Canis lupus familiaris: one gene and its partners. The protein of the gene in region 1 interacts with the protein of each later gene in a pairwise test. Links are inferred from orthologs where the notes say so. Each region holds a gene or a part of one and is shown on either strand. Other genes may lie near its edges.

Evidence for each region.
Region 2: the proteins of KLHL2 (region 1) and BCAM interact in binary tests that used the Homo sapiens proteins (3 or more experiments, as listed by UniProt). The two-hybrid records come from large-scale screens. The link is inferred for Canis lupus familiaris from reciprocal best matches to the Homo sapiens genes KLHL2 and BCAM.
Region 3: the proteins of KLHL2 (region 1) and TXNDC12 interact in binary tests that used the Homo sapiens proteins (3 or more experiments, as listed by UniProt). The two-hybrid records come from large-scale screens. The link is inferred for Canis lupus familiaris from reciprocal best matches to the Homo sapiens genes KLHL2 and TXNDC12.

The regions. Positions count from the first base shown.
Region 1 is NC_049236.1:61,749,381-61,752,891, reverse strand, and holds part of KLHL2 (kelch-like protein 2), read right to left. Parts: intron 2,362-3,511; exon of another isoform or gene 2,138-2,361; coding exon 2,021-2,137; exon of another isoform or gene 1,695-2,020; intron 1,543-1,694; exon of another isoform or gene 560-1,542; intron 554-559; coding exon 404-553; intron 1-403. UniProt on the Homo sapiens protein: Substrate-specific adapter of a BCR (BTB-CUL3-RBX1) E3 ubiquitin ligase complex that mediates the ubiquitination of target proteins, such as NPTXR, WNK1, WNK3 and WNK4, leading most often to their proteasomal degradation.
Region 2 is NC_049222.1:111,291,560-111,295,592, reverse strand, and holds the start of BCAM (basal cell adhesion molecule), read left to right. Parts: upstream 1-1,222; 5' UTR 1,223-1,261; coding exon 1,262-1,343; intron 1,344-3,269; coding exon 3,270-3,391; intron 3,392-3,862; coding exon 3,863-4,033. UniProt on the Homo sapiens protein: Transmembrane glycoprotein that functions as both a receptor and an adhesion molecule playing a crucial role in cell adhesion, motility, migration and invasion.
Region 3 is NC_049236.1:9,303,112-9,307,126, forward strand, and holds the start of TXNDC12 (thioredoxin domain-containing protein 12), read left to right. Parts: upstream 1-1,204; 5' UTR 1,205-1,321; coding exon 1,322-1,418; intron 1,419-2,755; exon of another isoform or gene 2,756-3,202; intron 3,203-4,015. UniProt on the Homo sapiens protein: Protein-disulfide reductase of the endoplasmic reticulum that promotes disulfide bond formation in client proteins through its thiol-disulfide oxidase activity.

The sequences.
Region 1 (3,511 bases):
CGGAAGTGAGCCAAATGAGCTGTTGGCCAACCTTAGCCCAACAGGTAATTCTGTGAAAACACTCGGTTTTCAATTATTGTCTAAACACACAGCTTACAGAGAAATCTTTCTCTGTAACCTACTCAGATTTTCCTTTCTACTAGAACTAAAGCTAATAGGACCCAGAAAGGACAAAAATCAGTTGCTTTCTGTTCCAGAACAGTGACAACATGCAGTTTATAAAGGTTAAATGAACCGAGCAACCCCCCCGCCCCTTGCCACACACAGGCCCAATAGAGAAGTTGAATTATATACACTACAATGAATTCTCAGGCACATGGAAATTCAGATGAGTAAATATATCAACAGCCTCTCTATGGGCCTTTCAGATGAAGTAATAATAAGTGTGAACAATAGATCCTACTTTGGGAAGGTTCATGGGTGTCCTCAGTCGGGTCCGGACACTCTTCATTAATATACGCTGCTCCGTTGGCAGCAAATGATACTTCATAGCTTCAATGAGGTAATCTTTGCAAGCACTGCTGTTCTTGACCAATGCTTCCTCTTCAACCCTCTGCAGGGAGAAATAAGACATACCCCATGACAGGGACAACTATTTCATGATAAAACTGGCAAAGAAACAGAAGTAAAGAAGAGGGGAAAAACAAAACAAAAATCATCCGGTCTGGCTCAGTCGTTTTCCTTACAAAGGAAAGCTTATAAATATCACTAAAAGAAAAATAAATGAAGCCAAAAAAAAAAAAAAAGCTCAAATATCTGGTCTGCAAAGAAAAATATATGTAAGTAATCAAGAGAAGAGCTGCAATCAAAATTATATACCTTAACATCAGCAATAGAATAATCTTTAGATAATACTATATTCACCTATTTCTCTCTCTCTCTCTCTCTCTCTCTCTCTCTCTTTCTGGTATATTCACCTATTTCTTATCTTAAAATATCAAGCCAAAGAGTAAGAAAAAAAATTTAGATAATGAGTCCTTCAGGTGGAATAGGCAATACTAATAAATTAAAGTCACTTTTCAAACGCAAAAAGGCAAATAAAATATCCAGGAGAGGGATTCAAAGTACTTTATAACATGCCTACACCACAAATAAATCTTGTCCCTGCTATTCCCGACCTCAAATGCAGGACAGGTTTTTTTGTTCATTTTCTTAACAGCGGAGTGCCAATGATTATGCAGATCACAACAAATAATGAGGCTTCAAGAAATCCTAAAATGCTCAGATTGAATCTCTTAATAAAGAACGTTTCCTTGGGATGCCTGGGTGGCTCAGTGGTTGAGCATCTGCCTTCGGCTCAGGTCATGGTGCTGGGGTCCCGGGATCGAGTCCTGCGTTGAGCTCCCCGCAGGGAGCCTACTTCTCCCTCTGCCTGTGTCTCTGCCTCTCTCAATAGATAAAATCTTTATTTTTTTTATTTTTTTTCTTTTAGATAAAATCTTTAAAAATAAAATGTTTCCTTAAATAGTTTCAATTATAAGAATGTTGAAATGTTCCTGGCAGGATGCTAATAATAAAAAAATAAATTCAAAATTGTTCACAGACTGCTAAAATCCATTTATTTCTACTTACTTCAAATAACCTGGTTTCCCTCAGATTAGAAATAAAGACAGAAACCAAATGCATGTAACAGTAAAACTATGAAGTAGAATTAAATAGTATTTGGGTCAAATGTCAAAATTCCATTTCTGCAGGGCAATCAGAAGACGCTATCAACAGGAAAGCAAAGATGATGCAGAGCAGGGACACAGAGTCACAGGTGCATTTATTTATGTGTAAGTGACCATAAGTACTGCCTACAGAAGCTCTAGAATTTGCTTGCCCACATCAAACATAGGGGGAAGCAAATTTCTAAGAAAGAGGAGTGGCCAAAGAAGGAGCAGCTGCCAAGGACCACAGGTGCCTCTAAGGTCCTCCGTCCCGTGCCCTGGGCATCTCATTCCGTAGGTCTCACCACTGTCATGCTGTCAGCCCAGTGACAAAGTGCTACGGGATTCACAGGTTTTGCATATGCTTTTACCTGAACTAAATATTCCCGAGGAAGCAAAGGTAACCGCACGTGTTCCATCAGCCGAGCCATAAATTCTTGCCTTACATCCTTGTCATGGTTTACCCAAGCTATTACTGCTTCAAATACCTTGCAGAAAATATGGGGAAAAGAAAAATAAGTAATGAGTTATGTACCAAGGCATCTGAATGAAGGATGATGAGATTACATTTTCTACACAATTCTTGCTAAGACATCCAAGTTTAATACACGGCTCAAGTTTTCCAAAATCCTGACCCATGCTGTACTTAAAAAGCTATTCAGTCCATTTCTTTCTTTTAATTTGGTATTTAGTAAAGTATTTTTTTTCCCAGCTTGGCTGAAATATAATTGACAGATAACACTGTGTAAGTTTAAGGTGCTCATTTGATATATTTATATATTGCAAAATGATGACCATCATAGCTTTAGCTAATACCTTCGTCACGTCACATAATTACCGCTTCTTTTCCGTGGTAAGAATATTTAAGATCTACTCTCTTAGCCACTTTCACGTATATAATACAGTTTTGTTAAATATAATCACCGTACTGTACATTCCCCAGAACTTACTCTTTAGAAGTCTGTAGCCTTTCACCAACATCTCCCCTCTTCTTCCATCCTGAACCCCATGTAACCACCACTGTACTCTGTTTCTAGGAGTTCAGTTTAGATTCCACATATAAGTGATCTCATACAGCCCTGGTCTTTCCCGGACTTATTTCACTTAGCATAATGCCTTCAAGGCACACCTATGTTGTCACAAATGGCAGTTATTTTCTCTTTTTTCATGGTTGAATAATATTCCTGTGTATATATGTGTGTGTATCGTATTTCTGTTATCCATTCATCCACTGATGGGACACTAGGTTGCTTCTAAATCGTGGCTATTCACAATAGCCACGATTTAGAAATCTTGATTTAGAAATCAAAGATTTAGAAATCTTTGAATTGGTTTATTGTGAATGCTGCAGTAAACCAATGCACATGGGAGCGCAGACGTCTCTTCAAGAATATATCCAGAAGTGGAACTGCTGGATCATATGGTAGTTCTATTTTTAATTTAGCAAGTACCTTCAGCACTTTTATGTATTAAGTATTCTTCATTTGGTATTTTACTAAGCATTTCACCAAATATATTATCTAATCTCCTTGAATTTAAGTGGTAGCTGTGATAATCTGACAATACATGATCTAATTCACTGTTGATAACCTTCCTAAGGTGGTTCTGCTTACCAAGATTTAAATCTCAAGTCTCTTTGGAATAAAGGGCCCAAAATAATAAAGCAAAGTGATACTGTTGAATGAATATCACATACCCTCATAAACAACTATTTTAGGCTTTTTCTTTAGGTTTAAAAAGAAATGTTAGCCATACACTTCTAAGTTAAGTGTCTGCAGAAAAAATTAGTTAATTACTTAATTGTCTGCAGAATAGATGAACTCTCTTTTCTCACAATGAAATATATTAAATCTACTATTTTT
Region 2 (4,033 bases), on another chromosome or scaffold:
TACAGGACTGGGTGGGGGGAGTTCAGGGGGTTGTGGGACCCTAGAGGGGGCGCTTGACCTAGCGGGGGGAGCAGGGAAGGCATCCTGGAGGAGGTGATGGTGCGGCTAATACTAAAAGGTCTCCTCTCCCAGTAGAACAGTTGCTTTCCTGTATCACTGAGGAATAAAGTAGCCTTGACCGGTCTAACAATAACTCCCAAGCTGACCTGTGATCTAAGCCTTCCTTCTGTGTCTGATGGGCAAAGCCCAACAGTGACCCCTGTTCTGGCCAGTGTCCAGGGCTAGCTACTCCCTATAACCGGTGACATATCCCCCCCTCCCCAGGGGATTTTGTCCTAGTCAGACCTGGCTGGTGAGAAGCCTGAGCCGTCAGATCTGTGAGCCCCCTCCTCATCTGACCTATCTGACCTGTGACCCTTCCTTCTGACCCTTGGCTCTGCTCCTCCCCACGCCCCTCAGGTGCCCTAGCCTGCTCCCCTCCCCCACTCACCTGCTCCCTCCAGCCTGAGTCTCCTCCCCTCCCCCCCAAGGTTGGGAGGGTGTGAAGGGGAGAGGAAGGGAGGAAGGGGGGTGGCATTCCTGGGATTCCCTGGATGAGGGTAAGAGAGGGAGGGCTCTAGGGAGGAGAGTCTAGGAAAGAGCACCCCACCGCGCTCCCCACCCCCCACCCTCATCACAGAGTCCAAGGCTGAACTGAGGTTTGAAGACCATTAAATTTAAGAGATTGGAATGATGGGTTCCAGGCCACTGGGCAGACAGGAAAGCAGTCGAGAGCACTGGCTACAGGGGAGGGCCTCACAAGGCATACTGGGAGAAGCTGTTCCAGGCCACCGATCAAGCTGGCCACCACTGGTTGTACTGGGAGAGGACAGTGCAAGCCACTGGTCATGCCGAGAACCACCGGTTACACTGGGAGAGGCCAGTGCGTGCCCTAAGGGTCCCCGGGCAGAATGAGGGGGAGAGGGTCCAGGGCGGAGTGCTGAGGTCCCAGCTCAGGACACTGGTCAGACTGGTCGGTCAGGCCACCCCCGCGGGCACCGGGCAGCCCGCTCGGGGGCAGAGGGAGCCCCGCTCCGGGCCGTGCGCTGGGAGGTCCACTCCGGGCAGTGGGAGGTCCTGGCGGGGCGCCCGGGTTTGGGGGGAGGCGGGGGGCCGGAGGGCGGGGCGGGGCGGGGCGGGGCTGCCAGGGGCGGGGCCTGGTCGCTCCCAGCCCCGGGGCCGCCGAGCTGCAGCCCGGGCAGTCGCCGCCGCCGCCGCGAACATGGAGCCCCGGGACGGCCGGGCCCGGGCGCGCAGGGCCCCGCGGCTCCTGGTGCTCGCGCTCCTGCTGGGGGCGCACCCAGGTATGGCCCGGGCAGGGGGCAGGGCGCTGGGGGGGGCGCTGGGGACCCCGGGAAAGGAACGGGGAAGGGGCTTCCATGGACCCCAGGAGGCCAAACCCGGGGACCCCGAGGGAGAGGGAGACGGGGGCGTGGGGGACACCCCTCCCGATGCGGGGCCTGGGGACAGCCAGACAAGGGGCTGGGCATCCCACAGCGGTGGATTAGACAGCACCTGGGAATCAGCCCCCTCCGCCCTCGGCCCCCGGAATCTGGGTCCCGGGGCTCCTGCTCCCTCAGACCCGGGGGTCCAGGCCTCCAGTGGCTTCCCCCAAGACACAGGAGACGCAAACCCCCAGGTTTCCCCCCAAAGGTTCCCGAGCTCTGCAAGGGTCAGGGACCCTGTGGCTAGAACCGAGCGAGTCACATGCTTTGGAGGGTTCCCCCAACCTGGTTTCTGAGCCCAGGCTCTAAAGAACCCAGCTCCCTAGGCAGCGGCCGTGGGGAAAGTGTTTCCGAGGGCCAGTGCCAGGGCCGCCTGCCTGGGGCCCCAGACAAATCCACACACCTGTGTGGCGGCGGAGGGGAGGAGGCCCAGGGGCTGGCAACGGAGGGCAGAGATCTCTCCATCTGTCCTCCTGTCGTTGCTCAGACGAACCCCAGGCACCAGTCTGGCCCCACACCCCCTCTCCTGGGACCCGCCTGGGCCAGAGGTGGGTGCCTGGGAATCCAGGCCCCCGGCACAAGCATGGCAAATAGTGGGTCCCCAGGGGCAGGGCTGGGTCAAGCTGGGCGGGGAAGGGAAGGGAAGGGAGGTTCTAAGAAGTGAGCGCTGATGCCAGGATGCCAGCCCAGAGGGTGAGAGAGCATGGTTTCCCCTATTGGAACAGCTGTATCTGCCAGGATCCTAGGATGGGAGTCCAGGCCCCCTCAGCTCTCTTATGCCTCCGGACCCAGAATCCTGGGCCTCGCCCCTCTTCTACTCCGAGGGAATGCACCTCACCCGCTTCCTTGCTCCATCAAAGAGGCTGAGGGGCCAGGGGGCGGGTAGGGGGCTCTGGCGCCAGGCCGGGCAGGTCTGGGCCAGCCTGTCCCTCCCACATTCCTGAAACCTGCCCAGCCCTGTCCCCCCTGACCGCCCCCACACACCCATCCTACCTCAGCTGCAGGCCCAGCCCCAGCCCCCTGACTCGTGACGAGGGACCCAGGGGCTGAGAGAGATGGAGGCAGTGCCAGGCTGCTGGAGAGGCAGGGACTGTGGACCAGAGATGGAAACCCAGAGTGAGAGACACACAGGCAGAGATGGAGAGACAGCTGTCTCTGGCCCTGTGCCAGGCCCTGCGCAGGGTGCTGGAGGCCAAGGGATGAGCCAGTACTGGCACTGCCCTGGAGGGGCGGCTGGCCTGGTGGGAAGAACAAGGACAGGTGCAGTTTTACCCCCCAGGAGGATTGGACAGAGGGCCCTGTGTGGCCCAGGGGGGGGGAGGAGCCCTTAGTTCTGTGAAGAGAGAGATGGAGAGAAATGCTGATGGGTTTGTAAGCTCAGAGATGCAGACAGGAGAAATGGAGGGAGGAGGTGCTGGGGGTCTGGACCCCTGGGTCTGAGGGAGGAGGGGCTGGGGGCCCGGACTCCTGGGTCTGAGGGAGGAGGGGCTGGGGGTCTGGACCCCTGGGTCTGAGAGAGGATGGGGCTGGGGGTCTGGACCCCTGGGTCTGAGGGAGGAGGGGCTGGGGGTCTGGACCCCTGGGTCTGAGGGAGGAGGGGCTGGGGGCCCGGACTCCTGGGTCTGAGGGAGGAGGGGCTGGGGGTCTGGACCCCTGGGTCTGAGAGAGGATGGGGCTGGGGGTCTGGACCCCTGGGTCTGAGGGAGGAGGGGCTGGGGGTCTGGACCCCTGGGTGTGGGGGAGGAGGGGCTCAGAGGCAGAGAGAGCTCAATGGCTCTCCTGCAGGTGCCCAAGCTGAGGTGCGCTTGTCTGTGCCCTCCCTGGTGGAGGTGATGAAGGGGGAGCCCGTCGCCCTGAACTGCACCCCCTTGGGGACCCACGACCATTTTGTGCTGGAATGGTTCCTGGTGAGTGCCTCAGGCTGGGGGCCAGAGGATGGCCAGGGAGCTGGGAGTCAGGGTGCCGCAGGGGCTGCAAATATTCATTCCCTCATCAGCGCCCCAAAGGACCAAAGAGCTGCATCCCACTGCCTTTCCCTTGTACAGGTGGGGGAGTTGAGGCCCAGCCAGAGGGAAGGACTCTCCAAGGTCCCCGGGTATCTGAGCACAGCTGAGACTGGAAGGAGGAGGCCCCCTTCGGAGAGAGAACGTTCAGAGATAGACATAGCCAGGAGATAAGAGACCAAGGGACAGGGTGCATGAGGAGGAGAGACGGGAGCAGAGCAGGGTGGAGAATGAGGGACCCTTAGGGAGAGGAAACCCCTGCCACACAGACCAGAGGGAGGTGACAATCAGAGAGGTGGTGGTCAGGGGAGGGGCACAAAGGGACAGCGGTGGGCAGGCCAGGCAGCCCGGAGCTGAGGCCCTCCCCGCCCACAGGCAGACCGCTCTGGGGTCCGCCACCGCCTGGCCTCGGCCGAGCTGCAGGGCTCCGAGCTGCAGGGTCGGGTGCTCGACTCCCGGGGCCGCAGCCCCCCGTACCAGCTGGACTCGCGCGGCCGCCTGGTGCTGACGGAGGCGCAGGTGGGTGATGAGCAGAACTACGTGTGC
Region 3 (4,015 bases), about 52 Mb from region 1:
CCGGAGTGGTTGGCGGGTGTCGGAAGAAGAGGGCGGGGGGAGACCGTGCGCAGCGGCCTATGGCCGTGGAGTGGCGGGACCGCCGGGGGTCTCACCTGAAGCAGGGAAGGTCCTCCAACAACAGCACGCGGCAAGAGCAAGATGGCTGCCTCAGTCGAGACAGAGAAAGACGACGGCAGGAGCGACGGCGGGAGCGGGGCCCACGTGACACGCCCGGCTCCGCCTCCCTCTCTCACCGGGGCAGCCTATCTCGGGGAGCGCAGACAGGGACTACACAACCCAGGCTGCTCTGCGCCTCCCACTAGAAGCGCGGCAGGCGCAGGTGGCCGCACTGCATTCTGGAGCTTGCAGTCCCCCTTCCATTCCATTGTGTGGGTGCCTACAGATTGGTAGCGAAGTGTGCGTTTTTGTTTGGGTGTGTACTTTATCGCAGGGCTTTCACTGAGCATTAACTCCGCACTGTCGAACTCAACTAGTGCGGACTCACTAGTATGAAGACTCAACCAGTCTCCACTCAGGGAGGAGACGGGAAATTTTGACCTGTTGGTCGTGTAAAAAAAAAACAATTGAGAAGAAATAGTCAACCCACAAAGTTGAAGCACGACAAAACAATTAGGTTTGACTAGATGAAACTTTACGCTCTAAATGCCTGCAGTGACTTTTGTCCTGGTTCCATGAAGAGCTAGGTCGGTTTTGCAATAATCCGAAGTTTGGTTTTCCCGGAGCTTGCACCAGTTCGTTGCATCACCCGTGAGTGATGCGGCCGCGGGGAAAAATAAGGTCCAGCGCTGCTTCTCCAGCAGAAGAGGGCATTCTTGCAAGGCACGAGACCACGCGCTGCAGAACAGGTTTGCCAGGTCTCCTCGTGGCCCGGGCAGGAATTGAAGAATGAAATCCGGTCGTCAACGTTTTTTATTTGCGGAGCAGGAAAGGGGAGGCCAATGGGCAACGCGCCCACTGTTCGGAGCGGCTGACCCCACCGATCAGTGATCTGCGTTATGAGTGTTCAGGGCCGCGGTTCTTGGGGGCGGGGCCGCTCGCAGGCAGCCGCCCCAGCCGCGCTCCCCGCGGACCGTCCCCGCCGCCGCCCCCGCCCTCTCGCCCGGCCGCCGGAAAGCCCCCCCACCCACCCACCGAGCTGCGTGATCTGCACCTTTAAACTTACCCGTGTCACGCGGACCCCGGAGGCCCCACCCACATCCGTCAGACATCACTTCCTCAGGGTCACCGAGCTAGAAACTCTGGGGCGCGAGGGGTGCGGCTGAGCCGCGCTCGGGGAGGCGCGGGCCTTGGCGGGGACGCGCCCCCGCGCACTGTCGCCATGGAGCTGCGGCCTCACCTCGGGGCCACCTGTGCGCTGGGCTTGGGTCTCCTGCTGCTCGTCACCTCTTCTGATGGACACATCGGGCTCGGAAAGGGTCAGACCAACTTCCTGTCTTAACCTTTACTCACCCTGGGCCCGGCCCGCCCAACCCCCGACTTGTGCTCACACGGCCCTGCGCCCCTTCTGTCTCCGAGGCCACGCCGGGTTTCTTTCTTCCTCCTTAACCGCTCCTGGATTTTGAGGATTTCTCGGGGTTAGGAAGTAGCGGGTCCGGGGAAGGTTGAGATGGGGAAGTTGTGCTTGAGGCCTCCCTAAATTCTTGGGTTGGGAGTAAAGAATGGCCCTTAAATCAGGGAAAGCATGTCTAAGAGTCCAGCATCGGTGCTTAGCACTGGGAAGGAAGGTCCTTAGGAACAGTCAGTCCCCTTCCCTGCTGGGCGGCATAGGGCCTCTGGACCTGCATATGCAGAGATCCTCTCCCTGGTCTTACATCACCCTTCTCACCTCTTCTCCGAAGAGCTGGGCATTGCCCCCTCCGTGCCTTGGGGAGAATAGGACCTGCATTCCAGGAAGGCATGACTGGTATATAAAGAAAGGCCAGGAAGGATAGAGGGCCTGATGTTAGAGAGAGGATCACCAGCGAGTTGTCCTTGGTGTGCTTCAGACAATGTGTCTGAAGAAACTGAACTTTTTTGGGGACTGAGGGGACAGTGGTTATGAATGGGGGATAGGAGGTGTGACCCCCTTCTCCATCCCTTTACCTACACCTTCTTTGGAACTTGGGGTTTATGCTTTTCTAAGTGGAAGAGTGGTAGCATGGATTCCCCTTTCCTTCCATTTTTTGTACTGACCTGACTGGATAGAATGATTCTGATACAGTCCTGCTGTTTTAAATTCTGCTTTATCCTCCCTGTTTGCATATGTATTGGTAGGTGATGAGTTGGGAGGACATTCAGTGTGCCTGAATGCAGTCACTCCTTCAGTAAATAATTAATTTTTGGTCCCCTGTCATATTCCAGGCCCTGCCCTAGGCACTAGGGATAAAACAGTGGACAGGACAGATAAGGTTCCTGCTCTCACAGAGTTTGTATTCAAGTCAGAGATACATGGACACATGAACAAGAACAAATTAGGAAGCAAGAAAATTTCAGCTAGAGAAGTGCTATGAAGGAAAGGAAACTGATGGAGTGGAATAGCTAGGGAGAATGAGGGACCTAGCATTACATGAGCCAGGAAGGTCAAAGAAGGTGGTATGTGGGTTTCCATCTCAGTGATGAAACTGCACAGTGGATTCTACTGGGCCAGAATGTTTTCAATACTGACAATCCCAGTTTGAAACAGATTACTGTATACTTAGCACAAAATTGTAAGTACCACGGGAGACAGAATATGGTGTTAGGAGTGTGGGTATAGATCTGAGTTTGACTTTATTCTGCTGTTGACCAGCTGAGAGACTTAGGACAAGTTGCTAAACCTCCCAAAGCTCAGTTCCTCATCTGCAAAATGGGCATAATAATAAGTACCTTGGACACTCAACAAAAAATGTATTGTGTTCCAGTTACTGTTAGGTGTAGGCAGTACCTTGGAGTCACCTATTTAGTATCTTTATTCCTTGTTAGACGTAAACTATGTGTGGTTGTTTCAGTTGCCATTGCTGCATAATAAACCACCCCCCAATTTAGTGATGTAAAGAAGTCATTTTATTATGCTCAGGATTCTGAGGGTCAGGAATTCAAACAAGGCACAGTGGGGAAGGTAGATCCCTTGGTTCCATGTCTGGGGCCTCAGCTGAGCAAGTGGCTTCTCCATGTGGTTTTTTTTTTTTCATGGGCAAGGTGTGGGCTTCCTCACAGCATGACAACTGGATTCTAAGAGTGCCTGCTCCAAGAGAACAAGGTGGAAGTGCATTGCATTTTTATCTAGCCTTACAAACCATAGCATGACTTCCACTGCAAGGACATGTTCAAGGGGAAGGACCCCCATGGAAGCAACGTTGAGGGTCACTTTGTAAGCAAGCCCCAGTACGCCAAGACCATTTCTGTCTCATTTATGCTCAGGAATATTTGTTGGAAGAAGAAATGAATGAGACACCTGATCATTGAGATCCCTGTCTTTTCAGCTTCTAGTCTGAAGACTGTCAAGACAAGTAGGCAAGCAGTTGCAGACACTAGCATCTTTACTGTGGGCAGGAGGTTCTAGGAGAGCCATCCTGAGGAAGGAGGTCTGTGTTGTGAGGATTCAGTGGAAAAATGAAAGGCACTTAATATTGTGTTGGAAACTTAGAAAGCTAAATTTAGTTAATATTTATTATTATGTCCTCCCAAGGAGGAATATTTAATTGTTCCTGAAAGGAATTAATAATGTTTCAAACTTTTGTTTTTTGTGTCTCTTGGGTATGGATTCTTGGGAAATAGAGCCCATGTACCCAAAATGTGCTACCTGAAGCAGTGGTTCCTGAAAATTCTGATGAGTTAAGATTTCTTCCCAGATGTTTCCAGGAGATGGTCTGTTGGTTTATATGGAGGAGAGACCGAATGACCGTACTGTTTTCATTAAGAACAGGAAGTATGGTGGTGTGTTGTGAGCACTGGATGAATCAGGAGGCTGGGATTTAATGCTAGTCAGACCATGTAGCCAGCTCTGGTCTTCCCTGGGGACTCCTTATTGAATGAGAGTGTTGAACTAGAGATA